Rattus norvegicus: one gene and its partners. The protein of the gene in region 1 purifies or fractionates together with the protein of each later gene. This does not show direct contact. Links are inferred from orthologs where the notes say so. Each region holds a gene or a part of one and is shown on either strand. Other genes may lie near its edges.

Region 1 (9,678 bases):
AGCTCTCCACCTCAATTTTTAAAAACAAGATTCTTCACTGAACTCTGATACTGTAAGAGCAGCTGGCCCGTGAGCTCCAGACTCTTCCTGTCTCTCTCCTCAGCATGAGGACTACAGGCAAGCGCCACTACAGCTCCTTACACGTTCTCAGGGAGCCATCTATCTCCTTAGCAGGGCTGGATGGCACTTCTGAGAAATCTGCTTTGCGGAGTTGTTCAGACAAGTCTGTTTAGCGTAGGTCAGTGCTGCAGAAGTCCAACTTCTCCCACAATGGAGACGCTTACCTAATTTGTTTCCCTGAACTCTCATCTCCTCATGATTTTTAAGATGGGGACAACAACCACCGGGCTCTTGGACCAGATAGAATGTGGTACCACAGTGTGGACATTCAATTCTGCATCCCACAGAATCAGAGAAAGGGATTAGTGTGGATCGTTTGAGGCCAGTTTGAGCACTGCAACGGGAACCCATCTTTGAGGTGGGGGGGGAATGAAGTTACAAGTTCCTTTCATAATGGATCGTATCTACCAGGGTAAGGCTCTTAAAACCCGAATGTTCACTTAAAGGGGAGCTGAGGCAGACTCTGCCTTCAAAAATAAAAGGGCGCTGGGGATACGCGGGTAGATTGATATCCTCAGGACTTGGGGTGGGAGAAGAGAGGAAGGAGGGAAGGGCTAGCCTTCTAGAGGGTAGGAGTAAAAAGTGCTTAGGACCCGCTGGCGGGTATTGAGACCTAGGTTAGGAAAGATTGCCTTCAGGAGCTGCAGCCTGATGATGCTGTAACCGGCTTTGGCCTCGGCTAACTTCAGCTCCACCCTTCCCACTGTGCCGTCAAGTTAACTGGGCGTTTCCATCCTAGCCCCCTGAAGCGGTCGCAGTCACCACCCAGCCGGCAGCCGCAGGTCACCCGGTCACCTCTCAGGCTCACTCTTCCCGGCTCCAAGACCTGGGTGGGGCGACCGAGCCACAAGTGCCGTGGCGACCAGCTGTGAGTCCCCGGGGGCCGATCCAGGCCGCCCCCCTCTACCTGGGACTTTCTTCCGGTCAGAGCTCCACAAAGATCTCGCTGTCCTCCAACTTCCAATCGCCTTCTCCACCTCCTTCCCCGCCCCACCTGGCCCTGGCGTGGATCCTGGGTGTCTCCTCCCCTTCCCACTTCCAGCTCCTTCTACGGAGTTTGATTTGAACTTTCGAACTCGCCAATCATCGGCCTCCGTGCGGCCCGGGGCGGGGTCCGGTGTCCGTCCTCCCGACGCGTGGCCCGGCCAGGGTATATAAGCACTCTCCGGGAGGCGGACCTCACACAGCTTCTCCCCCGGACTCCTTGGTAGTCTGCTAGTGGGAGACCTTCGTCACCCCCCTCTTCACTTCCTCAGTTTTCGCGGACCACTTCAAGGACTAAATATGGTAAGTGTGGCTTTGGGGCAGCGGCGAGGTCGTCTGAAGGGACCGCGGGAGCTGAGGACTGCCCGGGAGACCGTACCTGCCCTAGCCCCCGACGGCCGCCTCCAGTTAAACTGGCTTCTGGCGACCAGGGTTTGAGAGCCCAAGTCCATCAAACTAGTGTCGCTTTAGGCTAGAAGACTCGTCCCGGTACCTCTGTCTCGATCGTACTGGGAGAGCATCCCGTCTAGGCCGCCAGTCGCTCTCGGAAAGACAGAGAACTTTCACAATGACCGCAAGAGTTTGCAGAAACTAAAAGCTCTTCATTTTCTCAAATGCTGTCGCTCTCTCAGCTGGGATAACCAGAGGACCTCGTGCGCTGCGGACAGGGCTGAGCAAATACTTCCGGGCACCGTCTCCACGCCCTGTGACTCGCTGCTGAGTCACCTGTGGCCAGTCCCGGGACCTTCCAGCTGTGTACCTGGGAAGGCGAGCTCCTCCGTAGGAGGGGAATAATGGACGTCAGATCCCCTAGGCCAGTCTAGTTTCTAGTGTGTTAGTTCAGTGGCATGAAAAATGTCTATAAAGATTTTTTTCTATAAAGTTAAACTACCAACAGCATTCCGTCCCCCCCCCCCCCCCCCATAAAGGGTTTCTCTGTGTAGCCCTGGCTGTCATGGAACTCACTGTGTAGACTAGGATGGCCTCCAGCTCGGAGATCCGCCTGCCTCTGCCTCCCGAGCTGGGGTTAAACGCAAGCCTAATTTTGGTTTTTGAGTGTCTTATGAAGCTCATGCCGGCCTTGAAATCACTATGTGGCCAAGCATGACCTTTCATTAAAATTAGGATCCTTCTGTCTCCACCACCAAGGCCTAGGATTACTCACCCTGGCTAACAATGCATTAGTTCAGTTTTCTCGGGACAGTGGCTGGGCTCTGGAGGCAGAGGCAGGCGAATCCTCTGAGTTCAGGTAAGCCAGGGGTACATAGTGAGACTCAGCACAGCTTGGAGGGAGCAGCTAGTTCTCTAATCTTTGGAGGCTGAGACAGGGGGATTGTTCATGAGTTTGGGGCTTCTCAGGCTCCCCGGTGAGTCCCAGGCTAGTGTGGGCTACAGAGTGACTAATTTTGGTAAAAGGCCCCTCCTTGCTAAATAAGTTTAATTATTTGGAAGACCATGTACTTAGCGTAGAAGCTACTGGGTTTTCATCAGAAGAGAAGGAAACAAAATCAGACACATGGTCAGCTGCCAATAGAAATGTAAAAGAAAACCCCATCCCGGCATAGGGCGTAGTTTCACAATCCAAGCTAACTCCATTGATCACCTTTTGACTTAGCAGCTCCTTCCCACTTGTTTCTTATGAAACAGTCAAGGTCGTCTCCCCACACCAGAGGGTTCAGCTGTTCCAGAGCAGCCCAGGGATAGTGAAAATAAGGAGCAATCATTTAAGATCTATGGAAGCTTTGGGGAGGTGGGGTATACAGTCCTCACGTAGCCCAAGCTGCCTCTAAGGATCTGAGTTGTGGATGACCTTGAACTGCTGATCTCCTACCTCCTACACTAGGACCGGGAGCCTGAGCCACCATTTTGTGTGGTGTCGGGATGGAGCACAGAACTTCACACATGCTACACAAGACCTCTCCCCACTGAGCTAAATCCACAGCCCAAAGGCTGTTGTTGCCTTCTGTTTCACTCGCTTTTGTGAGTGTACTTTGAGGTGGTTGGTGTGCTTTCGGGGGCAGGAGAGGACAGTTTTCCTCAGAGTTGAACTCCGAGTTCAGGCTCAGTGGTAAGCTTTTTCCAGGTGAGCCTACTGGCCTCCCACACTCCGGGAGACTTTCAAAATTGTATTCTGAAAGAGGGATTCGGTGAGTATGAGTAACCGGACCTTAATTACAAAAGTGTAACAACGACTCTGTAGTTACAAAAGTGTAACAACCGACTCTGAGGTTACAAAAGTGTAACAACCGGCTTGCTTTTGATCAAGCAAACCCACAAAGATACAGTTCAGAAAAGCCCCAGGCTCACCTATTAGGCAAGCGTGGGCTTAAGTGTATGGTTTCGCTACACAAGCAAGCCTCTTATCCAGTTGAGGCTAGACTAAATGATTCATGTGTGCCTCTTGACTTTTCCTTCTTAGCTGCCAGGAGTGGGTTTGTGAAATCTTAAAGATTTCACATTTATCAAGTGGATGCATGTGTGCCACGGCATGCCTGTGGGAATGAGACAACTTGGGAAGTTGGTTCCCTCTTTCTTTACACTAAGGTCCCTTAGATTGAACTCAGGTCATCAGGCTTGGCAGAAATCGACCTTAACTCTTCTTTCAAGCCATCTTGCCAGCACAACAAAGCCGTTTAGAACCAGAAATTGGGGGACCAAAAGGCTACAGTTGAAGTGCCTCGTTAGAATCAATGGGCCTCAGACACTGCTTCCCTGGGCCTTGTGCCTCTGTCTAGCTTCTGGGGACTGGAGGTTCTAAAGTCCAGGTAAAGGTCACTTGAACCAGAGCTGCCCCTCCCCCACAGTCCTCAGGGCAGGAGACCCTGAGCTCACCGATGTGGTCAGAACCCTTGATTGTTTTATGGGAAACACAGAGGGACGGGTCAAAGGTTGTGAGGAATGGCTTCTTGTTTGATTACTCTGGCCTGAGAAGCTTCTCCTTAGAAAACCTGGGTGTTGAATGAGTTTCCTACCAAGGACTTTTAAAAGCCTGAGAGACTTTACTACTTAAGGAGAATAGCAACAGTTGGAGACTTTTTATGTCAAATTTGAAGGAAGGTTTTGCTGCCAAATTCAAAGTGCTCACCTCACACTGAATTATGAATGCTGGGGTTTCACTGGGGGGTATGGTGAATCCTGTGGGTTCAGCATCTGCACTCATTGGACCAATCAGGAATGGTAACTTTGGTAACTTCAGAGTGACTGTTGAGCAAGGAAAGGAAAACCATTGCGTCCCCTGACCTCCATGGTTAAATTCTTGTAATTACTTTTCCACAAGTGCCAGAAATATGCAATCTGATCTACTAGGGAACCGCTAATTTCCCCTTTCTTCTCCCACCTCTCCTGCCCCATTTCTTACTATTACGGTAAAGTTTTAGGAGAGAGACCGGGAAGGAAAACTGTTCAGGCAGATTAGTGTGCTCACTGGGGGCAAGGCTGCTTCTGGCCACACTTAGCATACAACTGTCTGCTTATCTGGCATTTTCTGTGAGTCACGGGGCTAGTTTAAGCTGGTTTTAAAGGGAAGAGGAAGTTTTGTCTCCTAAAGAGGGAATAAAGAAGAACTGTAGTGAGCTCAGGGGTGACAGTCACCCTTGACTCAGCCCTAGGATGGAAAGGTTCCGCTTTCAGTCCAAGGGTTCAGCTGGGGAATTCTGGCATGAACTTGACTGCCGCTCTATAGTATTAGAAAACTGATCCTGAACTACTGTGAACACAATCTGTGGAGGGGCCTGGCCCTGCCTAGTAGGTCATTATTAGCGTTAATGCCTTCCAGAGTACTTTTTCCCTTGAGTTAGCTCTTCAGTAAAAATTCTTGGTTGTGAAATGTCCCAGGCAGGAGTGGCCTCTGAAAAGTGATCCTATCTTGAGTCAAGCCCCAGGTCCTGGTGCGTCATGCTCTGACACTTTCTTCCGTCCCTTCCACAGCGTGAGTGCATCTCCATCCACGTTGGCCAGGCTGGTGTCCAGATCGGCAATGCCTGCTGGGAGCTCTACTGCCTGGAACATGGCATCCAGCCTGATGGCCAGATGCCAAGTGACAAGACCATTGGGGGAGGAGATGACTCCTTCAACACCTTCTTCAGTGAGACAGGAGCTGGCAAGCACGTGCCCCGGGCGGTGTTCGTAGACCTGGAACCCACAGTTATTGGTAAGCGGACTGGGGGCTTCCCTGGGGCAGTCCTTCTTGGTCACATACTCAGAATGTCTCTCCAGACCCGGAAGGGTGAGTGAGCTTGTGGGGTCCTTGGTGGTGTTGGCTGATGTCTTCTCCTTTTTCAGATGAAGTTCGAACTGGCACCTACCGCCAGCTCTTCCACCCAGAGCAGCTCATCACAGGCAAGGAAGATGCTGCCAATAACTATGCCCGTGGCCACTACACCATTGGCAAGGAGATCATTGACCTTGTCTTGGACAGAATTCGCAAGCTGGTAAGAATAGTGGGTTGTGTTCTGTGTTCTAACCAAGACTTGGGGGTCTTATGTATATTGAGTGAGACCAGCAAGCTTCCCAGTCCCCTAATCCTGAAGGCCATGTTAAGTCTCTTCGTTTCAAGCTCAGACATTCACATCCCTTTTTAGGTCCTCTCTGTCACACTGAGTAGGTGGCTAAGGCCTACATGTGACTAATAAGTAAAGCTCGTTTGGAAATCTGGACTGGAGTTTCATGTGAATAAAACTCGTTCATAGAGCAGCCAACTTGGCATACACAGGCCCCAGGGTTCAGTCTTCAGAACAGAAGAAACAAAGTTTCAGAGCCCAAGAAGCTGGTTTGACACCATTTATAGGGGCTGCAAGAGGTAGCTTAGCACTTAAGAGCACTGGCTGCTTGTCCAGAGGACCTAAGTTTGATTCGCAGCATCCATGTGGTGGCTCACAAAATACCTGTAACTCAAATCCTAGGGAATCTGTTGCTCTCTTCTGGCCTCTGTGGGCACCACACATAAGGCATGGAGATCTACATCCAGGCAACATCATATACATAAAGTAAAATTAAACCAGGAAATGAGGCGGCCTACAGAAGAACCCTTAAGCTAGCCAGGTGGTAGTGGCAGAGGCCTTTAATCCCAATACTTGGAAGGCAGAGGCAGGTGGATCTCTGAGTTCAAGGACAGCCTGGTCTACAGAGTGAGTTCCTGGACATCCAGGGCTGCATAGAGAGACCCTGTCTCAGAAAAAGATTAAAAAAAAAAAAAGAAAGAAAAGTAAAGCAAACAAACAAAAGTAGTCTTCCTCCAGCAAAGCTTGAGATGGAGTCAGGAGATTCCATATTGCAAAACACAACCTATGTTGATGGCACTCTGAAGTTCTAAGGTTAGAAATCCCAGAAAAACAATTTCCTAGCACTCAGGGATGCGAACTGGCTCTGGCGGGCCAGTCCTAAGCAACTCTAGTCCTAGACGCCCTTACCTCTTCTGGGAAGTGTGTTTTAATGAGCAGTCTGGCAATCAGATGACCACTCTACCCACTCTGTGAGGCTTGTAAGTGATTAACCAGAAAGGAAGCAGGCAGGCAGGCAGGTGGGGTGGAGTGGCTTGTCGGGAAAGTCAATCACTTTGTGCTAAGTCCAACCACACATGGTCTGTTCTAAAAAGCACCAGTTTTACCTCAGCCTCACACATGGAAAGATTGTAGCAAATGGCTGTAGCTAAGGACATTTCAGCAACAACACAGACTTGGGATGTTAGGGACCTGCCTTCCAAGGCACAGAAAGCAAGTAAAAGGCATTTACAGTTCTGGGATGACCACAACCAGAAGAATTGACCTTGGTGTCACTGTGTACCCCAGTGGCATGATGGATGTGACTCGACGAGGATCTTCCTGATAGTCCTCGTATGTCATCAGAATATGGACGACGCATGAGTGACCTGAAGGGTCAGTTATTAAATGTCTGCGGAGTTAAGAGTCTCAACAGAAGACTATTTGAAATAATTAGGGGTAGGGAGATAGCCGGGCAGTAGAAATACTTAGTACGTACCAGGTTCTCTCCCTGGGTATCAGGTCAGATTTGGCCTGCAGTCAGAGTAGACCACTTGGATGGAGCGGAAACCATTCTAGGCCTAGTGGAATGTTAATGTATAAGGAGCTCTCCTTGCCCAGAATGAATCAGCCCCACATACCGAGTGTGTACTGTGCCAAGCATCATTCCCAGTACTCTTAATTCCCAACCTGAACTAATAAGTGAGGCAGAGGAATTTAATTTGTCAGGTCACACATGAGGAGGTAGGGCCACCCACCTCCAGCCTGACACTAACTTGGGCAGTGAAACTTGGCTGTCCTGACATTTCACACCGACTTGGCAACATATCTGCAAGTCTGAATCCTGCCCTTTTGATAACTCCAACTGATAAGAGAGGTGCATGTGCCTGTGATCGGACCCACAGCAAGGTCACCAGAGACAACCTCCCAGCAACCACTTAGGGGGACTGGAGAGATGGTTCAGAGGTTTAGAGCACTGTCTGCTCTTCCAGAGGTCCTGAGTTCAAATCCCAGCAACTACATGGGTGGCTCACAACCATCTGTGATGAGGTCTAATGCTCTCATCTGGTGTGTATGAAAAAAAAATCGGTTTTGGGAAATGCCCCTATTCCTCAGAGGTTCTCAGTCACTGAGCACTTCGAATCCTTTTGCAACTCTTCTAGATGTTCTGAAGACTCCCAAGGTTATAAATTGTTAATTGCAAACTCAGAAACACCCATTGCAGCTCTCACAAAATATCAACATTGAAATGAACTTTTCTCCCACAGGCTGACCAGTGCACGGGTCTCCAGGGCTTCTTGGTTTTCCACAGCTTTGGTGGGGGAACTGGCTCTGGGTTCACCTCCCTGCTGATGGAGAGGCTCTCTGTCGACTACGGAAAGAAGTCCAAGCTGGAGTTCTCCATTTACCCAGCCCCCCAGGTTTCCACTGCTGTGGTTGAGCCCTACAATTCCATCCTCACCACCCACACCACCCTGGAGCACTCTGATTGTGCCTTCATGGTAGACAATGAGGCCATCTATGACATCTGTCGTAGAAACCTCGACATTGAGCGCCCAACCTACACTAACCTTAACCGCCTTATTAGCCAGATTGTGTCTTCCATCACTGCTTCCCTCAGATTTGATGGGGCCCTGAATGTTGATCTGACAGAATTCCAGACCAACCTGGTGCCCTACCCTCGAATCCACTTCCCTCTGGCCACTTATGCCCCTGTCATCTCTGCTGAGAAAGCCTACCATGAGCAACTTACAGTAGCAGAGATCACCAATGCCTGCTTTGAGCCAGCCAACCAGATGGTGAAATGTGACCCTCGCCATGGTAAATACATGGCTTGCTGCCTGCTGTACCGTGGTGATGTGGTCCCCAAGGATGTCAATGCTGCCATTGCCACCATCAAGACCAAGCGTACCATCCAGTTTGTGGACTGGTGCCCCACTGGCTTCAAGGTTGGCATTAATTACCAGCCTCCCACTGTGGTACCTGGTGGCGACCTGGCCAGGGTGCAGAGAGCTGTGTGTATGCTGAGCAACACCACAGCCATTGCTGAGGCCTGGGCTCGCCTGGATCACAAGTTTGATCTGATGTATGCCAAGCGTGCCTTTGTGCACTGGTATGTGGGTGAGGGCATGGAGGAGGGGGAGTTCTCTGAGGCCCGTGAGGATATGGCTGCCCTAGAGAAGGATTATGAGGAGGTTGGGGCAGATAGTGCTGAAGGAGACGATGAGGGTGAAGAATATTAACTCCTGTGCTGCAACTTTACACCTCTGTGGTCTCATCTTTGTCCTTGCGTGCGTTTTAACTGTCCTATACTGTCAATAAAGGTGTTTCCGTTTTAAGTGGGAAACTGGCTTCTGGTTCACAGCTCTCTCCCCTTTCCCCTTTAAGATTGCATCTCTCTAGATAATCCAGGCTGGCTTCCTGCCCCTGTCACATAGCTGTCACTGTCCCTGATTTGGATCACGGATTCATCACCCATTGAGTGGGTCCAGGTGGGACTAGTGATGAGTTGACCATTTTCTTTATTTTTTTCTTTTATTAGATATTTTTATTTACATTTCAAATGTTATTCCCTTTCCCAGTTTCCCAGACATAAGCTCCCTATCCCGTCCCCTTCCCCTTCTATAAGGGTGTTCCCTTCCCCTTTCCCTGCAACATTCCCCCTACACTGGGGAGTCCAACCTTGGCAGGACCAAGGGCTTCTCCTTCCATTGGTGTTCAACAAGGCCATCCTCTGCTACATATGCAGCTATGGGTCAATCCATGTGGACTCTTTGGTTGGTGGTTTAGTCCTTGGGAGCTCTGGTTGGTTGGTATTGTGGTTCTTTTGAGCAGTTGACCATTTTCTAGTTTCTATTAGCTGCTATGTTCTGTGCTCACTGATTAAAAACAATGTGTAAGTTTGGACTGGAGAGATGGCTCAGCGGTTAAGAGCACCGACTGCTCTTCCAGAAGCCCTGAGTTCAATTCCCAGCAACCACATGGTGGCTCACAACCATCTGTAATGGGATCCGATGCCCTCTTCTGGTGTCTGAAGACAACCACAGTGTACTTATATAATAAATCTTTAAAAACAAAACAAAACTTCCAAATGGAA
Region 2 (11,266 bases), on another chromosome or scaffold:
AGGCCATCCTGGTTTATTATATAGTGAGTTCATATTGAGACCCTGTCTAAAAATAAAACGTATAAAGTAATGTTCATAGAATTTCGTGTAAATCTCAGAACCAACAGGACAACATATACGCAATGGAGCACCAGCCAGCTTTCCTTTGACTTCCTGTTATAAGATATGCCAAGCGAGTGAGATACGCCAGGCTGTCGCTCCTGAGCCCCTCCACTCTATTCCACAAGTGTACTTTTCATGTCAGCTGCTTTCTCTAAGACCAATAAAAACAATGTGCAGGAGAGACAGCGCAGCCATGAGCACCTAGCGTCTCATACACAGGACGAGGCTCAAACCACAACACCCACAGGTTGACTGAGCTTCCCTAACTCCAGTTCTAGGGGTTCTAATGTCCTAAACTGACCTCCACGGACACTGAACGCCCATGGTAAAGACATAAACAGGAAAAATACAGATAGCATGGTGGCACAAGCCTTTAATCTGAGCACTCAGATGTCAGGCAGACAGATAGGTCTCTTTGCTTCTGAGGCCACCTGGGACTGTCTTACAAATAAAATCATAATAAAAAATGTAAAGACGTGGAAAAAGACAAATCTCTTCCATCCACTTTTTGATGGTGTCAAAGGCTAGGAGAAGAAAAAAATAGTGTAATAGTGTAGTGATAGATGATGACCAGTGGGAACCATAGTTAATGAATTGTACTTTATATTTTTTTCTGTGAGCCCACAGAGGCCAGAGGGGGACTTCTGAGCTGCAGGTGGTTGTGAACCATCATTTGGGTGCTGGTAATTGAACTCAGGTGCTCTGTAGAACAATTATATATTTCTAATAACAGAGCCATCTCCCCAGCTCCTGGCACTAACCATATACTCGGAAGGCTGAGGAATGCCAAGCTCAGACAATAGAGTGAAATTAAATGGTAAACTTGGGGACCTGTCAACCAGAGTTCAACCCCTGGGATCCACATGGTAGAAGACACTGTAAGCTGTCCTTGGACCTTATATGCTGTGGTACGCACAAGCCTGCACATACACAAAAAAGCTTTTAAATGTAGATTTTTACAAAGGTAAGACTGCCACAGTAAAAGCAAGAGTCTGTAATCTAGGTCATTTTTTTGAGTCAGTTTCTCTGTGTAACAACCCTGACTGTCCTGGAATTAGCTTTGTAAACCAGGCTGGCCTCAAACTTAAGAGAGCACCGTTCCTCTGCTCTCCCAGTGCTAGGATTGAAGGTGTGTGCCATAGCGCCCACAGTGCCCAGCTAAAAACGGACTATGTGCTAACAGGAGCCAGCAGTAACAGGAAGGGAAGGAAACCAGAGACTCAGGGAGTGTGCAAGTGATCAAAGTGCATCATATGCCTGTATAATAAAGAAATCAGGGACTGGAGAGGTGGCTCAGGGGTTAATAACACCGAATGCTCTTCCAGAGGTCCTGAGTTCAACTCCCAGCAACCACATGATGGCTCACAGCCATCTGTAATGGGATCCGATGCCCTCTGCTGGTGTGTCTGAGACATACAGTGTACTCATATACATAAATAAATCATTAAAAAAAAAAAAAGAAGAAAATCAACAAGTCTGTTGAACTAAAACATGCCAGTAAAATGAAAGCAAGCAGAAGCACGAAGGGAACAATTGTAACTTTCTTAGGTTGGCACCACTCACCTCTCCATGTTTCTCCTCTTGGCTCTGCGCAGAGCTACGATGCCTTCTTTCGCGAGGGCATCTAAAGAGAAGGGGTCAATCCCCTGCATAGAAACAAACATTCTTCAATCGCTGTCACCTTAAAAGTAAGTGAGACTCATTCATAATTTTAAGTTCTTACCTTTTGATTAATAACGACAAATCCTTTATCTGAATCACCACAGACTTTCTTCTTCAGTTCTACGATTTTTTTAACTCTATCTTCAATGAATTTTCTTTCAGCCTTTACTAGTTTCTCTCTCTCTTCTGCACTCTTGTAAAAAAACCCAGAATTCACTTCTCTATTTAAAAAAAAAAAAAAAGAGAAGAGATCTCCATGTTATATGAGCTTTTTAAGGGCCCTGTATTAGGCTCTAAAAAGCAAGTGCTGCACCAGTGGGCTCCACATCACCGAGCCCCCATGTCTCATTACTGTCTGTACTGTAATGAGATGTGCGGACGGTAATGAGACAAACACTAACTTCCTCCCACCCAAAGGGGCCACACTCACGTCTTCTCATACTCCAAGGACACGTTGCATGTGAGGATGTAGGCATTTTCTACTCTTTTCTTCATATCAGGATGCCGTGCTCCATGATCCAAAACAAGCCCTCTGATTAAGCTATAAAACAGAAAATTTATCCCACTTCTGTTAGCAAACAGAGACGGGAAAGTGACACATAATAAAGTAAAATCAAGTAATTCCTACAGTGCTAATTTTTATACAGGTCCACTAGCTTCTAAAGTCGTTCAATAACTTTTCAGTTAAACCTAAGGTCAAATGTGAAAAAGGAATGCTCTAAGACACAAGACAGGCCACCTAGGCAAAAACAAGCTTGCAAGTCTACAACTAGCAGGCTATCCAACTGTGATCACTTCAACTCCTTAAAGAAATGTTTTCAGGGCTGGAGAGATGGCTCAGAGTTTAAGAGTACTGGCCATTCTTCCAGAGGTCCCGAGTTCAATTCCCAACAACCACATGGTGGCTCACAACCATATATAATGGGATCTCATGCCCTTTTTTGGCATGCAGGCATATACACAGATACAGCACTCATACATGTGCACTGTAGTCAAGCGTATCAATACATGTTCACATTTCAAATCACACCGACCACAAACACAGCACAGCCTTCCCTCATCCCCACAGTGCATACTACTTAGAGTAAATGCCATACTCAGCAACCTATCCAGTATGAACATGTCTCAGGACTGGGGGCTGGGGGGAAGCCCGCAGCTCAGTGGTAGAAAGCACTTCAAAGCATTCTCTTGCCTACCTTGTATCAGTTTCAGATTTATGCTTCATCTCCATGATCTCAACCATGAAGAGGTCAATGGGCTCATCTTTTTTCCTAATGGCCAAAATGGAGTCCACCACAGCCTATGAGATAACCATTAATAAATTTAATGTGCAGAGCCTGACACACTTTATTTAGCTGTTGTTCAGAAGAGTGGAAAAGGCTTAAGAAAATTGTCTCTGAAACCCCACAAGTGCTATTTTATGGTGGCACAGGTCCCCAATCTCAGCCCTACAATTCATACTGTATTGTGGACTAGCAGACCAGTTCCCCAAAGTATGACTAGAGACATTTTGGAGGAGTGTCAATTCTTCCTAAGCCTGGCCTGTTACTAACTCCATCTTTCCAAGCTGAAGACAGATTAGATCATTACTGCCCAGGGAAAACCCTAACCCCTTCCTCTACACAGACTTTCTGTGAAAAGCCTACACATGCACGCTTAGAACAGGTTTTTACATCAGACTTTCCCCATGCATTGCACCACACGAGGCCGATACACACCTCTGTCAAGACATCTGCAAGCTCAGCATGAACTTTAGTCCGCAGAGATGTCCTGGCCACATCGATGAGTGTTTCTCTGTCCATCTCTTTGCTTACTTTGACTTGTTCCAAAAACTGGAGTGCCTTTTCCTTTGCAGCTTCAAAGCCTTCGGTTATTATTCTGGGATGGAGACCCTATAATCCAAACAGCTATAAAGCCAGTGCCAACACCTGCATCTTCAACAGGATACCACTGAAACCCAGTCAGTCAGTAATCTCAAGGGACACCCTGGGGCCCTCCTATTCACTACAATTAAGATGGTGTGCTGATTTTCTGAATACATTTAAAAGGACACAGTACTCCTTTCAATGCAGAGGAAAAGAACAGACTTTACTCTAGCACAGAGTCAAGGCCAAGGGAACTACAGAGCACACTTGGGTGTTCACTGTGCAATCCACGAACTCAAAACTGGCTCCTAACATTTTGCTGTAAGAGCTTGCTTCTCTTGTCTACAGGTAATCTGAAACTAATTCACATCATTTTGAAATATTTTTAAAAAGAAACCAGAGTAGGCTAGTCCATTAAAAATATGTAATCATTACTTAGAGGTGATTTTTTCCCATTCATTTCAGACCAGTGACAGACAGGCAGAGGCTCTCTGAGCTAAGCAGCTCAACCGTTCTACGGTGTGCCCTCAGCTAGCATCACATCAATTAGCACCATTAGCCCACCAAACAACAAGCAGAAACTCAGAAACATGAATCATTGTGTACTTCAGAAATGTAGAGGTCCGCTTGTTTGAGCAGCTCTCCGATGATGAGGACATTGGATGTAGTGCCATCGCCGGTTATGTCATCCTGCGCTGTAGCCACTTTTGCTATCAAAGAGGCTGTTGGGTGTTGAATTTGCTGCAGGTAGAAAAAGAACTACTTAAATGACTTATGGTTACCTAGGGTAAAACATAAGAAAGGCTTCTTTTACAGCGTCCCACTCAAGATTGCACAGCATGGCTACATTTTGGTTGGATGTTCAAGACATTCCCTTTACTGGGATGTGAACTACAGGACCTGAAAGTTCTGGTGAGGGAAATGGGTAATTGGGTCAATTTAATATGATCCCAGGGACAAAAATAACAACTCTAAGGTAGCCTGGTGTGAGGCGCACAGCTTTAATCCCAGCATTCAGGGAAAGAAAGTAGGTAATCACTGAGGCTTACACAGTGAGACTCATCTCAAACAAAGTAAGGAGATTTTTCATTTCTCCTGCAGTTGAGTAAAAAGATGATCATTCATTTTTGCTTTTCTTTCCCACTGCCCTGTTTTTGCATATGTAGCTCTGTCTGGCTTTGAATCCTGAGATCTAGTTGAGTACTGGGATTAAAGCTGTGTTACAAGATTTAGCTAAAGCAGACATAGCGATCTTTTATACAATTATTGTTATTATTTTTTTTTTAGCCCAGACTATACAAAGTAGGCCAAAACCAAAACAAAATACCAAGGACCCAAACACACATTTGAGACTCTACAGAGTTCCTCACCCACTACAGCACTTCCTATATTTCTGCTTGAAACGTACGATGAAGAATTTTATCCAGAAGGAACAGGTCAAAAGTTTTTTTTTTTTTTTAATACCTAGCACGGCAGCTTCTTACCATTTCATGAAGTAGCACATTGCCATCTTTAGTAAGTTTGATGTCTCCAGCACCAGATACAAGCCTGTCAAACGGGCAGGGATTGATGAGCAAGAATGTGACTTTCCAATAAAAAAGCAAGTAAGAATTCCACAAAGCAGCCAAGGGGTGATGTATATCACCCAACCCTCTCTTAAAGTCATGCAAATCTCTGGGAGTTCCAGACAAACCATAACTTATCAGTCAGACTCTACCTCGACTAATTACATAATGAAAAGACCCACGAAAGCGAAAGAGGAGTAAAGGGGACAAAAGGAGGCTATGAAATAGGACTCCAAAGCAGGCGTAATTTGAGGAACGGATACGAGAGGCGTGACTAAGAGTATACTTAAAAATCCAAGCGCTACGTCTCAGGGAACTTCACTAATTTGCTGGCTAATAAGGTAACAAAAACAGATCCTCCTGAAATTTGGGTCTTATTCCTACATCCTAGTAAACTCGGGGGGGCTGGGTTCAGGAAGGGTGCACACGCCATCCTCTTCCTCCAAAAGAAGTGGGTGCAACCCGCAACCCCGAAAGGCGCGAATCCGGGTGGTTTGGATGGGATGCAGCACAAACATTGTAGAAAATGCTAGTGCGAAGGCCTGGAGGCAGCGACTGGAGTTTGCGGCCATTGACCCGCCAGGCCCTCCCGCCCGCCAGCCCGGGCTTACATCTTCATGGTGCCTTTAGGGCCCAAGTTGGTCCTCAGAACATCCTGCAGGCCCCGTGCCGCGCTGATGTTCACCGCCAGCGCTGCCTGCGCCCGGGCCACCTCGGCTTTGGGATTTAGGGTCTTCACCGCCGCCATGGCTGGTCGAGCTCAGGGAGAGGCCGAGAACAACGTGCTCTATGCGGGTCTTCTCGAAAAGTCTTACGCATCTGGCCCGCCCCCAGCGTGCCCACAGAGCACCTCCATTGGATTGTGGCTCTCTTGGTGCCCGCTGATTGGCTTATCCTGACGCTGGTCTCTCTGGGCCCGCCCACACGCCAAGTCGCGACGTCATTGCGCATCCGAGAAACTTGTTCTCCGGTAATCCGCACTCCGAATTCTAAGGTTCCGTTGTGCTCGCCTCACAACGTTGCGGTTCCGCGCTTTAAGGATTACGGCGTGGCGGTTGCGCGGCCAGTTTTGCAGGAAAAGCACTACTGCTCGTGTGTGAGGGATGCTTCGACCTCGGCACTCGACTGGGCGTGACAGGAAGCAGAGGTGTCGGCCTCTATTTGCGGGGTGTCTCTAGCTACTGGACTCCGGGATGCTTCCCTCACACTCTCGCGAGGTTTCCCAGGTTCATTTGTCTTGCCTATTTTTATCCGTGAATGTGGGAACACAGAAAATGGACCCTTCCCCTCTACCCTGGTCATTTAAAAATCCCGGAGTTTGACGGGAGCATTATTGCTAGGCAGAAAGTACTAGATGGCTTTAGGAGTGGTGCGATGGGCGTTGAGGAGCCTCAAGAATCAGTCTATTCTTAGGGCCCAGGTCATTGAGGCAGTTTTGTTTTCTTAATTTTTAAAAATATGAAACAAAGATTCACTCTGTGTCCCGGCTAGACAGCTCACTGTCTAGCTTCGGACTCGTAGCAATCCTCCTGCCTCAACCTCCAACGTGTTATGAACTAAGCCTGCTAAAAACTCAAATATGGCTGGACAGTGGTACCCAGTCTTTGAAAGCATTCCTTTAAACATTAAAAAACAAAAACAAAAACAAAACCAACTAAGCGTATAGATGTTTCCCCTGCCAGTATGTCTGGGCACTTAGGTATAGATACGATACGTGCTGAATTTTTTTGAGTCACTTCTCCACACAGATGACAACTCATAATGCCGTTGGATGTATTCTACTGAGCTATACTGAAGGTTTTGCCATTTTGATAGGAATAAGAAATTCTCATTCCCCTCAACATCTGTGTGATACTCATTACAGAAACGATACATAGCCAGGCGTAGTGTCATATGCTTTTAATCCCAGAACATGGGAGGCAAGCAGATCTCTGTGCCTTCAAGGCCAGCCTGGTGTGCATAGCAAGTTCCAGGCCAACCATGGCTACGTAGTGAGACCCTGTCCAAAGAAAACAGAAGGTTTAGCAGGTGTATAGGTTCGAAATACAGAAAATTTAAAAAGGAAAAAGAACTAACCAGTCATCGGACTGACATTCCCAAACCTCTTGCTATTCTGGCTACACTAAGTATAATGTTTAAAGTAGCTTTGGAGATTTGAGAGATCGCAAAAGCTGTGCATATGATATTTGGCATGCAGAAGACTCGTGTTTACGTTTGTAGACCACTTGGCAGTTTCATCATCACTGCTGGTAAAACAAGGCAGAGGGAGACTGCAGAGTCAGTCGTCTGCTTACAAAGTAGAGAACAGGGCAAGAAAATGTTGGATCGAGTTGGAAAACTCAAGACTGCCCAGGAAAACTCGGTGCTGACACTGGAGATAATATAATATTCCCTAAAACATTAGCGAAGCGTATATTGGAGCTGCTTTTTCTTTGTTTGTGGCTTGTTTTCATTTTGAGACGAGGTCTCACTATGCAGACAAGGTTAGCCTTGAACTCCTGATCCTCCTGCCTCTACCTACCTCCTATTTATTTGTTTGTTTATTTCATGTGCATAGCCATTCTGTCTGTGTGTATATCTGCGTACCAGAAGAGGCCTCCTAGGGCTATAGTTGTGAGTTGTCATGTTAGGTGCTGAGTGTGGTACACAGGACCTGTGGAAGAGCAGCCTGTGCTCTTAACCGCTGTGCCCCCCGCTCGATCGATCTGCCTACCTCCTAAATGCAGGCAGTACAGGCATGCACCACTAGACCCACCATTTTGGGTGGGAGCTTAACCTCTGAACTATGTATGTCCCAGTGACTGTCATTCTCAACAGGGGATATCAGAACGTCACCACATCTGACTAGACTGGTTTTGTTTGTTTTTTCGTTCGTTTTGTTTTTTTGAGACATGTTTTTTCTGTGTAGCCTTGTCTGCCCTGGAACTTAGTCTGTATATCAGACTGGCCTCGAACTCAGAGATCCACCTGCCTTAGCCTTCTGAGTGCTGTAAAAGTGAGTGCCACTACATGGCTTGGTTTTTTTTTTTGTTTGTTTGTTTGTTTGTTTTTTGGTTGTTGTTTTTGTTTTTTGTTTTGTTTTGTTTTTACAGTGGCCTAATTCACTAAATGACTACATTATAATTTATTTCACCAATTTCCCATTGGGTCAAATTTATTCTGATATTTTGCAACTAAAAATTTCTGTGACATTTCACATACATGCTGGGATGCCTGTAAGATACATTTGAGATATGTGATTATTACATTCTTTGATCTACCCCCAACAACTGCTTTCCCATCTTTTTAAAGAGTTTTGTGGTTGTTTGAGACAGAATCTCAAAAAGGTTTTATTACACTCATTTGTGTGTGTATAGGTGTTTGCATCTATGCCAGAGTATATTTAGAGAGGTCAGAGGACTACTGTGTGTGTGTGTGTGTGTGTGTGTGTGTGTGTGTGTGTGTGTGTGTGTTTTCCTATGGAGCCCTGGCTATTCTGGTACTTGCTGTAGATCTGGCTGGCTTCAAACTCACAGAGATCCACTTGCCACCACCTCCTGGACCATGTGGGTCCTTGGGATCAGATTCAGGCCACCAGGCCTGGAAGCAAGCACCTTGACCATTGAGCCCATCATTTCCAGACAGGGGTCTCATGGAGCCAAAACTGGCCTCAAACTCACTGGTTGAAGATGACCTAAAGTCCTGATCCTCCTGCCCACTCAAGAACTGGGATTTGCTTGACCACCACACCTTTAATCAGCACTCAGGAAACAGAGGCAGGTAGATCTCCAAATTTGAGGCTAACCTGGTCAGTCTACAAATCAAGTTCCAGGACAGCCAGGGACATCAAATCAGAGATACACAGAGAACCTGGTCTAAAAAAAAAATTAAAACATTATTTATTTATTTTATGATTATGAGTGTTTTACTGTTTGTCTGTATACCACTTGCATGCCTGATACCCTCAGAAGTTCGAAGAGCGTGCAGGATCCGCTAGAATTGAGTTACCGATGTACTTTTCTTGGCTCTGTGGGCGCTGATTGCTTGTAGACTGTCCCTAATACATAACTAAAACTAATTTGAAAATCTTTAAAAGACATAAGAGGGCCACAGAAATGGCTCAGCAGTTCAAAGCATGTGCTGCCCTTACAGAGGGCCCCGGTTGGTTCTTAGTACCCAGATGGGGACTCAAAACCATTCTTCACTCTAGCTCCAGGGGATCTGAATCCCTCTCCTCACCTCGGACGGCACCAGGCACACATGTGATGCTCATGCATGCATTCAGGCAGCAACATTCGGGCTTATTAAAAAGAAATCAAAACCCAAACAAAACGAATTAATCATCACTTAGCTTGAGATTCCCTAGCCATGGCTCTGATGTGTTGCTTCTGTCCTAGGGTCTTATCCAGGATTGTAATCAGTGTCGTGTCCTTCAGTCTGAAGAGGTGCACGTCCTACCACTGAACTACAGTCCCAAACCCGGACCTCATTATTTTCTTAATTTATATCTTTAAAAAAAAATACAAAACTAACAGGGTCTCATGTAGCCCAGGCTAGCCTCAAACTTAGTATGTTGCTCAGAATGACCTTGTGCTGATTCTTTTGCCTCTGTTTCCAGAGTGCTAGAAGTATGGCCATGTATTGCCACACCAGATTTTGTTTTGTAGCCCAAGATGACCTGAAACTTGTTGTGTAGCCCAGGCTGGCCTCAAACTGGCAGTCCTCTCACCTCAGATTCTAGAGTACTGAGATTAACAGATCCGTACCACTTTCTCTGCTTGAACTTGGCACGAGTATGGAGCGGTTATTTTAAAGACTTAGTTCTGTGTGGTTTGGTGTTTTCTAGTGATTAAATTTATTTTTGACAAGAAATATTACAGAGATGGTGTGTCCTTGTGGCTTAAGGAGAGTCATGTGATCCCAGTTTATCCAGTTGTTCATGTCGTTAACTTTGATCGTTTATTTGAAAGTCTCCAGATGACTGGAAAGCTGTAACTTTTTTCTCTTTGGAGTTGGAGGAGGGATGGCTCAGGGTTAAGAGGACGTGCATCGCTCTCACAGAGGACCCGGGCTGGGCCCCCAGCACCAGAGCAGGCAGCCCACAACCATGTGTAATTCCTGCTGCAGGGCCTCTTACGCCTCTGTCCGGCCTGCACTCACAGACACATGCTCACATGCAGACATATAGCCCACTACAGAATTAAAAATAATAAAAATAAGTCTGTAAAAGTAAACTTGTTCTTTTCTATTCAGTCAGTAACTTGTGAGGAGTTCTATAAATATCCTGGTTTTCACTATGCTGCACATTTCTAGCCCAGTGGTCCCAACACTGCGACCCTTTAATACAGTTCCTCACGTTGTGGTGACCCCCATCCATAACATTATTTTCATTGCTGCTTCATAACTGTAATGGTGCTGCTGTTTTGAATTGGAGTATAAATATCTGATATACAACCCCTGTGGGGTGGAAACTGTGGGTTGAGAGCCACTGTCATGGCATTTGTTCATGATTTGTTGTCGCTGCTGTTTCTATGACACTTGTCTGTGTGTTTTTATGTATGTTTGTTTGTTGTTCATTTAGATAGTCTCACTGCATCTCACTGTGTAGTCCTGTCTGGATTGTAGCTCATAGAGAACACCCGTCTCTGCTTCCCAAGTGTGGGGAGTGGCATTTTTTTAAGATGTATTATGTGCTCTGCCTGAACATCAGCACTGCCATCTTGTGCCCAAACGTGGTGCAGGCACAAGATGAGGAGGCTCTAAGGACCAGGAATAGCTGATATGTTTTATTTAAATATCTGGAGTTGGGGTTGGGGATTTAGCTCAGGGTAGAGCACTTGCCTAGCAAGCGCAAGGCCCTGGGTTCGGTCCCCAGCTCTGGAAAAAAAAAAAAAAAGAAACCCAATCTAAATATCTGCAGTTTATTTAATAAACATGTAAAGTAGGAGTAATAGCACAAATGAACTCATGTAATCATTCATATTTGTAGTAGTTTTCCATTTTGAAATAAAATTCCCATTGCCATATATATATATATATATATATATATATACATATGTATATATATATATATATGTGTGTGTGTTGTATCCT
Region 3 (10,625 bases), on another chromosome or scaffold:
GTCACAGTCTTATTGTATCTCTCCTCCCCAGGTTAGGGAACCTGGGGATACAGCTTTTAAGTTGTATAATATTCATGAGGAGCTGAAAATTGAGGCTTAGAGGGTAGTTTAGGGATTTTTTTTTTAAAATAAATGGTCTTATGTAGTAGCCCAGGCCTGTCCTCCAAATATATCCAAGGATGGTCTCAAACTCCTGATCCTTATGCTTCTGCCCTTGAGAACTGAGGTTACAGTCATAAGCCACCGTGCCCAGGGTTATTTTGTGTGCGAGTTGATTAGTTTTAGCTGCCAACTTTATGCAGTAACTTACAGTCACCTGGGAAGAAAGACTCATTGAGAAATTGGGTAAATCAGGTTGGCCAGTGGGTATCTTTATTCTGGGGCCTACATGGCTGAGTTTTAAGGCCAAAATGATGCCTCCAACATGGCGCCTGTTAAGGTCTCAGGCCTTATAGAGACCCTGTCTTTTAAAGAAAAACAGAAACAAAACAAAAAGAAAACAAAAACAAAAAACCCAGAGTGTAAACTTAATACTTGTTTTTTTATGAACCCCTCCCCTCCCCCAGCACCAAGACCATTTAGGAAAATGGAAGGAAATGGATCTATCGACATGTTCTCAGAAGTCCTAGAAAACCAGTTCCTCCAGGCTGCTAAGCTAGTGGAAAATCACTTGGACTCTGAAATTCAGAAACTGGATCAGATCGGTGAAGATGAGCTGGAACTGCTCAAAGAAAAGAGACTGGCGGCGCTCCGGAAGGCTCAGCAGCAGAAACAAGTAACCTCCGCCTGCTCTCTGAAACCACTGTAACCCTGTGCTCCTGACTGCACTGTGCAGTCATGTGACTTTCCCTCCTCACTTGCAGGATGTTCCAAATTCACACGACACTGTTCAGTAGCTGCCCAGGAATAAAACATTAGGGAAGACTTAGGCAAGATGTACCATTTGACTGAGGCGATGACATGTGAAAGAGAGACATTGAGACTTTTTCTTAGGGCAAGCTTAGGGTCCACACATCAAAAAGAAATACGATGGTTGTGTGTGAGAAAATATTTCTAAGTGTTAGACTTGCGTTTTTATTAGGTTGTCTTGTCTTTTGTGGGAGGGCAGGACAGGAGCAGGATCTCACTGTGTAGCCATGATTGGCCTAGAAATCTCAGACATTTTACCGCTTCTGCCTCCGAAGCGCTGGGGCCCAAGGTGTGCACCAGCACCCCCATTCTGTCTGTCATCTTCATGGCCACTCAGTGACATGGTTGGGTTGTTGCACCCACTTACAAGAGAGAAGGTGAAGTGGAAGGCTCCTTAAAACTGGTCAGTGCGCTTACCTAGGAAGCGCAAGGCCCTGGGTTCGGTCCCCAGCTCCGAAAAAAAAAAAAGAACCAAAAAAAAAAAAAAAAAAAAAAAAAAAAAACGGTCAGTAAATGTCGGATGGGCGTGGCCACTGCAGCCTCCCTTGTTACTTTTCTCCTAACCAGCAGCCTGAAAGGGAGAGTGAGCATCCGTTGAGGTGACAAGCTTTCTGCTACAGGGAAGGGGAAGGGGCTGGAAGAGTCCCAGGCTTGGTTGACAAAGGCCCTGCCTCAGCTTGGGAACCTGAATTAGATGTGAGGCTTTTTTCCCTGGCTTTGGACACCACGTGGGTGGGATACTTTTCCTTCTGAGGACTCTGCTCACTATTGGCTGCTCTAGAAGCCCCGGCCTGTTTTGAGATTACTGTCAGAAGCAGATAGGGTCCTAAGCTTCCTGAGCTTCGATAACTGCACTGTCCCCCAGGGTGGATGGGCTTTATTTCATGAGGTGGTTTGGTTTAGTTTGGTTGTCTGTTTAGTTATGCTGTGGATAGGACATTATTTCTTAAATTTGAGATTGTCATAGGATTATATCATTCCCCCTTCCCTTTGCTCCTTCCAAGCCATCCCATATTCTCCCTTTCACGCTCACAGCCTCTGTTCTCACTAATTGTTGTTACATCCCTATATGTGTGTGTGTGTAGACATACACATTTCTAAATATGCCCTGCTCAGTCTGTAATGTTAACTCGTGTGTACATTTTCAAGACTGACCATTTGGTAGTGGACAGCCAGTTGGCGTGCTTTTCCCTGGAGAAGACTCTTCCTCCCACTCTCAACATTCTTTAGTTGCCTGTGAGAGCATTACTTTCTAAAGTGTAGAAAATAGTGAGTGTGTGTGTGTGTCTCCGTGGTAGAGCTCTCCTGTCTCCTGCTCTTGCTCCTGGTTCAGTCCCTCACATCACAAAAATAAACCGAAAAACCGTTTTGTAATCAAACAACCCTGATTTTATTAGTTTAAAGAGCACACATGTGAAAGTTAAATTGGTATTTTCATGTTATGTCTCACAGACCTAAATTCTGGCTGTGAAACTTAAAATGAAGCAGGTAAATGAACAAGGTGCAGAACTGCCCTAATGAACCCCTGTCATGAGACGGTCACTCCTGCCCACAGACTAGCTCTGCACAATGGCCACTGAGATCCTAGGAAAGCCAACTGCTGAAGGAACACCTGCTATGCAATAGAATTGATTCCCTTACAAAATTACACAATGATTAAGAGATATAAAACACTCGGTACCACGAAAACACGTGTCAGCTGGGTCTCTTGCTTCTCTTGAAATTAGGAATGGCTTTCCAAAGGACACGGGGAGTACAGGGAAATCGGCAGCGAGAGAGACTTCTTTCAAGAGGTCAAGGAGAGTGAGAAGGTGGTTTGCCATTTCTACAGAGACACCACATTCAGGTAACCTGGCTTCCGCTCTTCTCTCTACTGGGATGAGACATGTGCGTAGAGACACTGCTGACTTAGAGCAGTCACGTGTGGTGATGTGGTCACAGGTGTTTTCATTATTGTGAAGATTAGCCTAAGCCAGCAAGCACCTTGCAAGTAAATAAGTCGGTCTTATCTGAAGTCAGTAGTCCTGTGTAAATGTTTCATTGTGCCGAGCTGTGGTTTCTCCATGTAAGTCAAAAGACATCCAGAAGTAAGTGCTTGTAATTCTTACCAAAACAATAATTTGATATGCTGTGTTCATAGGATGCTGGAAATTGGGAGCCAACAACTTTCATAATTGTTTATCCCTTCAGTCTTTGTCCTCTTGGTAAGGACACAGTGGCTTGACCAAGTCTTTCAGCAGAACTGCAGTTGGAACAGTCAGATTTGGAGAGAAGTAATTTCCCTTAAGGCAACCCAGAAAGTAGCAGGACTCCCGAGTTACATTTTTTGAGGGAGAGAACTGAGAATTTGGACATGCTAAACAACTGCCCTACAACCAAGCTCAGCCCAAGAGGTGGTGTGTGTGTATGTGTGTGTGTGCCTTCAAAATGGGTTAGTTGCCAACCTTTGAAAATTGACAACTTAAGAACTAGTCAGATTTTTTAAAAACTAGAAAAGCTGATAACAGATTTAGAATCATAATAGCAATTTTCTGGTGCTGCCTTTCTCAGGTGGACGTGCAGGGTAACTGACTCGCTGCACTTCAGCCCTTCCTCAGTAGGGAGAGAAGACAGGGCTGAGGTACAGTGAGGGCCTCAGCTTAACCTCAGAGCCACCACTTCAGTGTTAACGCTTTTCAGGGCCTGAGTGCCTTGGATTAATTTACTGAGAATTAGAAAGGCAGAGGCATAAGAAGTGCCAGCCCACCACAGCAGGGGTAAAGCAAACTACCAAGAGCAGAAGTCAGGTGGAGGTAACTGATGGAGGAGACAGTGAACCACTGGGGTGCTCACCTCCAGGCTGATCTGGGAACCCAAATTCAAACCATTCTATTGTCTTGTATACAGCCTCCAAAGTCCCCTCACAGAGTAAACTGGGCACATCTGTGAATGAGCATTTGTCTGTCAAACATTTATCGTAGCCCTCTGAGGTGTGGGTCACGATTCTCTTCCTTGCATGGAGAGTGAAGTGACTCGGCTACTGGGTGATGGAGGAGTCCCATGTTTTAAAAGTGAGACTGCACTTTTATTAAGATTTATCTATTCTTTGGGAATAAATGTGTGCCTTGCCAGCATGTGTGTCTCTGCGGCGTACGTGCACACAGATCAGAAGATGGACTCAGATGCCCTGGGGCTGTCATTGGGAATGGATGTGAACCACGTGGGTGCTGGCAGTGGACCCTGCAGTGGTTCTCTGCAGGAGCGGCCATGATCTTAACGCTGAGCATTCTCTTCAGCTCTGCCTCTGGGTTTTTAACTGCTGTTCTGTTCTGTTCTGTTCTGGTAGGTGTTTCATTTGTTACTTGTTTTGTAGAGGTTTTTCTTTGTTCAGTTTGTTGATGGTGGTGTTTTTGCAGTGTTAGAGAATAAACCCACAGCTTCATGCATGGCACAATTTTTCTTTTCTTAAGACAGGGAGGGTCTTGCTGTATAGCTCTGGCTCGCCAGGAATATTCACCTGCTTCTGCCTCCCACGTACTGGAATTGAAGGCATACAGCACAATGCTAGATTTTTAAAGATAGATTGATTGCTTGTGAGACTAGACAGAGGGCAGCAAGGAGGATCTCTGTGTTGAGCTGTAAGACCTTCTCTCAGAACAACAGCATGTACTAACTGACAAATGGCCTGGTCATAGGCTTTATTAAAATAGGTTCCTTCTACAGTTGGAGTGTGGAGGGAGTTTATGTTTCTCACAGATTCGTAGTTTGTTTTGAGCATCATTTAAAACCTGTTATCTGCTCTTTTTCCATTTTATCTCTAAAATCTTGTCTTGTTTTGTTATTTTGGTTTTCTGAGACAGTGTCTCTGTGTAGACCAGGCTGCCCTAGAGCTAACAGAGAATCTACCTGCCTCTGCCTCCAAGTGCAAGGATTTAAGGCAGGTACCACTGCACCTGGTCTAATCCCTGAAGTCTCATTACTGAACCATCTGGCAACCATCTTAAGCCAACAAGACAAGATTAGACATCAAGGACGCAGGAAATGCCTGAGCCCGGACCTAGTTCTAGAGTGACCCATGTACTCAAGAGTCACCTGTGCACTTCCCTGTGCCACCCGGAGACTTTCCACTCATCTGTAGTCTGTAACAGTTACCTATTAGTGAGTGGTAGTGGGGCACAGGATTCCTGTCTCAAAATAAATAAGTAAATAAGAGTCACCTCTAACGAACCCTGTGCTTACGAACCACTGATCATAAAACATTGGCAGTTCATTTAGAAACACACTAGGAGCTTGGTTTGTGTAAAGCAGATTTTAATTTAAAGACAGTGTTCCTTCCTCTTCAGGCTTAGTAAAGAGTATGGAGCTGAATGAGCATTTACTGGGTTCCGTGTCTGTCCCTGAGGAGGGGGGAGTCCCTGCTAATACTGCCCATTTCTCTAGAACACACTAGCCATATTTAAAGAGTCTATAACCTTTAACCGAAGAGCTTCCTGACAGTTACATGGTTCAGAGAGGTCTCGGTGACTCCAGCTTTCAGTCCTGAATTCCAAAGGGGACACCAGCTGTATTTTGCCTCTTGTGAGTTCCGTCAGCCTCAGGTCTGTCTTCATGCACAGGGGAACCAAGACCCTCCTTGTTTTTATCGTAAGCGTAACAGTTCATAAACTCATAGACTCAGAGAAACTGTGAGGTGGGCTGTGCAGGGCTGCTCCTTTAGCTTTTACTTCTCTGCCTTAACTTCCAGGTGTAAAATACTAGACAGACATTTGGCAATTCTGGCCAAAAAACATCTTGAAACCAAGTTTTTGAAGCTGAATGTGGAAAAGGCACCATTCCTCTGTGAGAGACTGCGGATCAAAGTTATCCCCACATTAGCTCTCCTGAGAGACGGCAAGACACAAGATTATATTGTGGGATTCACCGACCTGGGAAATACAGATGACTTCACTACAGAAACTTTAGAATGGAGACTCGGTTGTTCTGATGTTATCAATTATAGGTAACGTTTAGCTAAAACAAAAAAAACAAAAAAATAGACTGTTTTGAAACTATGCATAGTCAATAGTTTTAGAGATTTTTTTCATTGTACTTTTATTTTTGTTTTTGTTTTTTAAGACAGGATTTCTCTATAGTTCTTTCTGTCGTGGAACTCTCTGTAGACCAGGCTGGCCTTGAACTCAGTGATCTGCCTGCCGCTGCCTCCTGAGTGCTGGGATTAAAGGGACACACCACCACATCTGGCTAGTTAACATTTATTTTATGAAAGTAAGGCCTAATAGCTAAATTGTGGACAGCTTGGGGGGAAAAAAAAACCCAACACTTCTCAGGGCATACAGCAGTGTGATCTTACAGCAAAACCAAGTTTACAGTTAAAGACAGGTTTAGAGGTGGCCTAGACGTTTTCAACGTAAGAAATGTTACTGAAACTAATTTTAGAAGCCCAAAGTGGCATTCCAGAATAGATTACCTCTGTGTGAGGGGGGCCTTGTTCTTTGTTTTTTAATGTTAGAGATTCAACCCAGACCCTCTCGTACGCTGGGCAGGTCCTCTGTCCCTAAGCTATAGGCTAAACCTTGCCTTCCCAATCTCTGACTGACTTAAAGGACTCTCTGTGATGAAGTTAAAATCGCAAGCACGCCAGCCAGCACAGGAGGCGTTACGCTTGTGCAGTTGAAACCAGGCCCTCACAATGCTAGCTGTGCTGGCCCTGAAGACTGTGGAGACAGTAGGGTTTTAGGGTAGACTCTTGTCTGTCTCCTGTGCAGTCTACAAATGCAAAAGGTTTCCCTGCTTCTCTTACTCTGGAAAACAGTTAAAATCCCGCTTCTGGTTTTTTGTACATGACTTTTATCCCCTTCAAATTGAAAGTTACTACCTGTGTTCTGTGCCTCATGCTTAAAAAGAGAAAGGAAAAAAAGACAAGGAAAATTGTGCCTTTCAAAGCAGAAAATCTCCCCTTTTCTTTCCCTACTGGTCAGTTTCTTCTCGTTAATATTAACATAAATTAGCATTGGTTCAACAACATGGGAGACATTCCTAAACTATAGAAATCAACTTCTCTTGTTAATATTAATAAGTTAACATTCATTCAACCAAATGTTATATTTTGAAGGTTTTGTTTTGTTTTTTTGACATTTGGAGACAAGGTCTTACTCTACAGTCCATAATGTTACTCCTCCTGCCTCAGCCTCCCAAGTGCTAGGATTACAAATGGGGTCCACCGTGCCCAGCAGATCAGTTTCAAGTGTTGATTACGTTGCAAGCTAACAAAAGAAATCCTCACACGTCTTTACAGTGCCTTGCCACTTTTAAACGCGGTGTCAGACGCGCCTGTAAGTTTCTTTCAGAACTACTTGAGTGTATTTCCTTTTCTTGAAGGTATACTTCCTAAGAATAGGACATTGTCCTGCACACTACCTGCACTTACTAAAACAGTGACGATGTATTTTATGGAACCTACTCAAACCACCATCCTCTTGTTGTTCTCCATGTCTGAGAAATAAGTCATGTCTAGTTTTTGCATTTAATTCCTGTAAGGATTGGTAATTTAATTTTCAAGGTGACAGCTTTGCCGTGTGGTGGCGTGTGTCTTTAATCCCAGCACCTGTGATGCAGAGGCAGATGGATCTCTGAGTTTGAGGCCGACCTAGTCTACAGAGAGTTCCAGGACAGCCAGGACTACACAGAGAAACCCTGTCTCAAAAAAAAAAAAAAAAAAAAAAAAAAAAAAGGTTGTGAAAGTATACAAGCTAGCTAATTCCTCAGATGCTCCCAGTCTGAGATTGTGAATTTATCAGTGTCAGACCCAGATCCTGTGGCATGGCTAGTTTTCCACAGGAGGATGTCCATGCCCTCATTCCTCGTGCATCGTAAGCCATCGTCTCTATTTAGTGGTAAGGCACTGGGTAGAGCACTGGCCTGTCATGCTAGGCAGTTGTTGGATGAGGAACTGCCTGTTCCATTACTTGCCCACTTAATGATCGGTCTGGGCCATGACTGACTTTATCCTGTGGGTTATCATCTGTAAGTCTTGTTATACTTTGATCCTTCCTGTTTGATCCAGACGAAATATGACCTCCAGGAGAACTTGTGGTTTACTCTCCAGAGTTAGCTGTGTTTCTATATTGATTAATTTATTTACTGTTTGTTTAGGATAGGCTCTCCCTACATAAGCCATGTGGTCCTCAACTTCTCAGTCCTTCCTTACCCTCCTGGCACCTGGAATCACAGTGCCGCCCCCACCTACCCCCATCACACCTGCACGCGCGCGCACACACACACACACACGCACACACACACACACGCACGCACGCACACACACACACACACGCTCGCGCGCACACACACACGCTCGCGCGCACACACACACGCACACACACACACACACACGCGCTCGCGCGCACACACACACACACACGCACACACACGCACACACACACGCACACACACGCACACACACGCACGCACACACACGCACACACACACACGCACGCACACGCACGCACACACACGCGCACACACGCACGCACACACACGCGCACACACGCACACGCACACACACACGCACACGCGCACACGCACACGCACACACACACCTGTCTCTTGTCATTTATTTCTCTAGCATCCTTGTTTAATGCTATTTCCAGGTTGATAATAGCACATTCCATGAGTCCGTCAATATGTGTAGAAATGTAACACTGAGGTGCTACCCAGGAAGAGTCACGAGTCCCAGCAGGAGCTCAAAAGCAGCAGTGTTGCCTGTCACTGGCACGGGGCGGCACAGGGTCAGTGCACCTTCGCTTTTCTCTCTGCCCTAGCATGCAGAGGGCCAGTATCCTCTCCATCACCCCAAAATTGTTTATAGCAATGATCATGATAACCAAGAAATTCAAGCATTGTCTAACACAGTTAAATAGTATATGAAACTATTAACTTGATATGCGTGCTTTTTATAGTCTAGCATCCTGCGGATACTAAATCATAAAGAATAAAATGCTCTTATCCTTTGTTTCACTTTCAGTGGAAATTTAATGGAGCCACCATTTCAGAGCCAAAAGAAATTTGGGACAAACTTCACAAAGCTGGAAAAGAAAACTATCCGAGGAAAGAAATACGATTCCGATTCTGATGATGATTAGACTGTGCTATACTTTAAAACTTTCTGTCTGTCTGTGTGTATGTCTGTCTGTCTGTCTGTCTGAGTTAACGTGTTTTCTAAATTCCACTGATTTCGGCCCATTGACCATCTGATACTCTTATCCCAGCGTTTACACTGTTTGACCATCTTGTCTATGGTCATTATGTATAACCTGAGAGAAACAGATATTTTAAATTACCTGGGAAGGGTCTGAATTCTCTATTTTTGTGGTTGTTTTTTTCATAATGTGATTCTTCTATCTTTAAACTGCTCACACTTGTGTTTTTAATCTCCTGCATTAGAAATAGAAATTCAGCCCACTCTTGTAGGCCCTACTGAGTGCTGACTATACACCAGGTTGGACACCTTCCCCTGGGCACCACATGCACTTCCCTGTCAGCGATCCACTTCATGGAATGGCTTTCAGGAACTATTAAAGACTTAACCATGTGTTCTGGATACAGCATGTTGAATCTGCTGAGACCAGCAGGAAACTCAGGTTGTGAGCATGTTGTCTTATTTAAGGGATCCTCATTGTTAAGTACATGCTGAAACATGTGAAAACTACTTAAACAGTTTTTGGGTAACAGCATAAGGAACTCCATTGACTGCTCAGTAAAACAACTTCAGCAAAGGTGAAAATGTGAGTCTGGAAACAGCATAAAGAAAAAGAAAAACCAGGTCTTGTGTTTAGCATGAACAAAAAGAATCTGATGCCCAGAACTAGCAAGTCTTGGTAAGAAAAGAGAGTGTAGCATCATCTATTGAAATAGACAGCTCAGTGTAGAAAGGCACTTGCCACAAAACTTGGGGACTGGACCCATTGGTGGAAGGAAAACAATTCCTGCAAGTTGTCATTTAATGTGCACACACAATACAAGAAATACAAATGAATTGAATTAAAGGTGTCTTGGGATTTGAAAGCAATCTAAAAGAACACAAGGAACTGGAGAGACTGCTCACCAGTTCAGAGCACATGAGTTGGATTCCTCGCACCTACATGGTGGCTCACAGCCGTCCACTAGCTCCAGTTCCGGAGGACTCGGATGTCTTCTTCTGACTTCCAAGGTCATCACACATGTACATGCATGCAGGCAAAACTTGCACACATAAAGTAAGTTGAATCTAATTCTTAAAAGACTAAAATCTAAGATGAAAACATAACACACCTGAGAGGTTGAGAGGAAAGATACAGCAGAAAAGATGAGTAAAAAGGAAACGGCTAACTGAAGAACTCTATACCAATAATCCTAAAAAATGGACAAATTCCTAGAAAGAACAACTAAAGTATCTGAGAAGTAAGTTTGAGCAGGAGTCAAGAGAGATGGGTCAGTAATTAAGAGTACATAACTGCTAGTGCAGAGGACCCAAGGTCAGTTCCTAGCCTGCATGTCAGAGGCTAACTCAGCTCCAGAGAGTCTGAGGCTTTCTCTGGCCTCAGCAGGCACCTGCATAGCCGAGTGCACGGGCATACATACGCAAACGTAATCTTTGGGTTAGATGCTAGATCTGACTGCAGAGAATTAAGAATTAGAATAGTGTGTATTCTAAAGGAAGATGGGAAGTGATTCAGAAGTTCACAAAGGCAGTACGAAAGCCT

Evidence for each region.
Region 2: the proteins of Tuba1c (region 1) and Cct6a purify together in Homo sapiens (affinity purification with mass spectrometry; 3 studies listed by BioGRID and IntAct, with this or other methods). This does not show direct contact. The link is inferred for Rattus norvegicus from reciprocal best matches to the Homo sapiens genes TUBA1C and CCT6A.
Region 3: the proteins of Tuba1c (region 1) and Txndc9 purify together in Homo sapiens (co-immunoprecipitation; 3 studies listed by BioGRID and IntAct, counting the BioPlex papers as one, with this or other methods). This does not show direct contact. The link is inferred for Rattus norvegicus from reciprocal best matches to the Homo sapiens genes TUBA1C and TXNDC9.

What each region holds. Positions count from the first base shown.
Region 1 is NC_086025.1:132,069,662-132,079,339, forward strand, and holds Tuba1c (tubulin alpha-1C chain), read left to right. Parts: upstream 1-1,322; 5' UTR 1,323-1,404; coding exon 1,405-1,407; intron 1,408-4,942; exon of another isoform or gene 4,943-5,031; coding exon 5,032-5,254; intron 5,255-5,385; coding exon 5,386-5,534; intron 5,535-7,849; coding exon 7,850-8,824; 3' UTR 8,825-8,928; downstream 8,929-9,678. UniProt on the Homo sapiens protein: Tubulin is the major constituent of microtubules, a cylinder consisting of laterally associated linear protofilaments composed of alpha- and beta-tubulin heterodimers.
Region 2 is NC_086030.1:32,513,113-32,524,378, forward strand, and holds the start of Cct6a (T-complex protein 1 subunit zeta), read right to left. Parts: upstream 5,961-11,266; 5' UTR 5,943-5,960; coding exon 5,806-5,942; intron 5,178-5,805; coding exon 5,114-5,177; intron 4,371-5,113; coding exon 4,236-4,370; intron 3,916-4,235; exon of another isoform or gene 3,781-3,915; intron 3,657-3,780; coding exon 3,483-3,656; intron 3,065-3,482; coding exon 2,961-3,064; intron 2,306-2,960; coding exon 2,195-2,305; intron 1,986-2,194; coding exon 1,826-1,985; intron 1,749-1,825; coding exon 1,666-1,748; intron 1-1,665. UniProt on the Homo sapiens protein: Component of the chaperonin-containing T-complex (TRiC), a molecular chaperone complex that assists the folding of actin, tubulin and other proteins upon ATP hydrolysis.
Region 3 is NC_086027.1:47,706,526-47,717,150, reverse strand, and holds the end of Txndc9 (thioredoxin domain-containing protein 9), read left to right. Parts: intron 1-566; 5' UTR 567-586; coding exon 587-775; intron 776-2,636; coding exon 2,637-2,755; intron 2,756-5,632; coding exon 5,633-5,887; intron 5,888-8,908; coding exon 8,909-9,026; 3' UTR 9,027-9,477; downstream 9,478-10,625. UniProt on the Homo sapiens protein: Significantly diminishes the chaperonin TCP1 complex ATPase activity, thus negatively impacts protein folding, including that of actin or tubulin.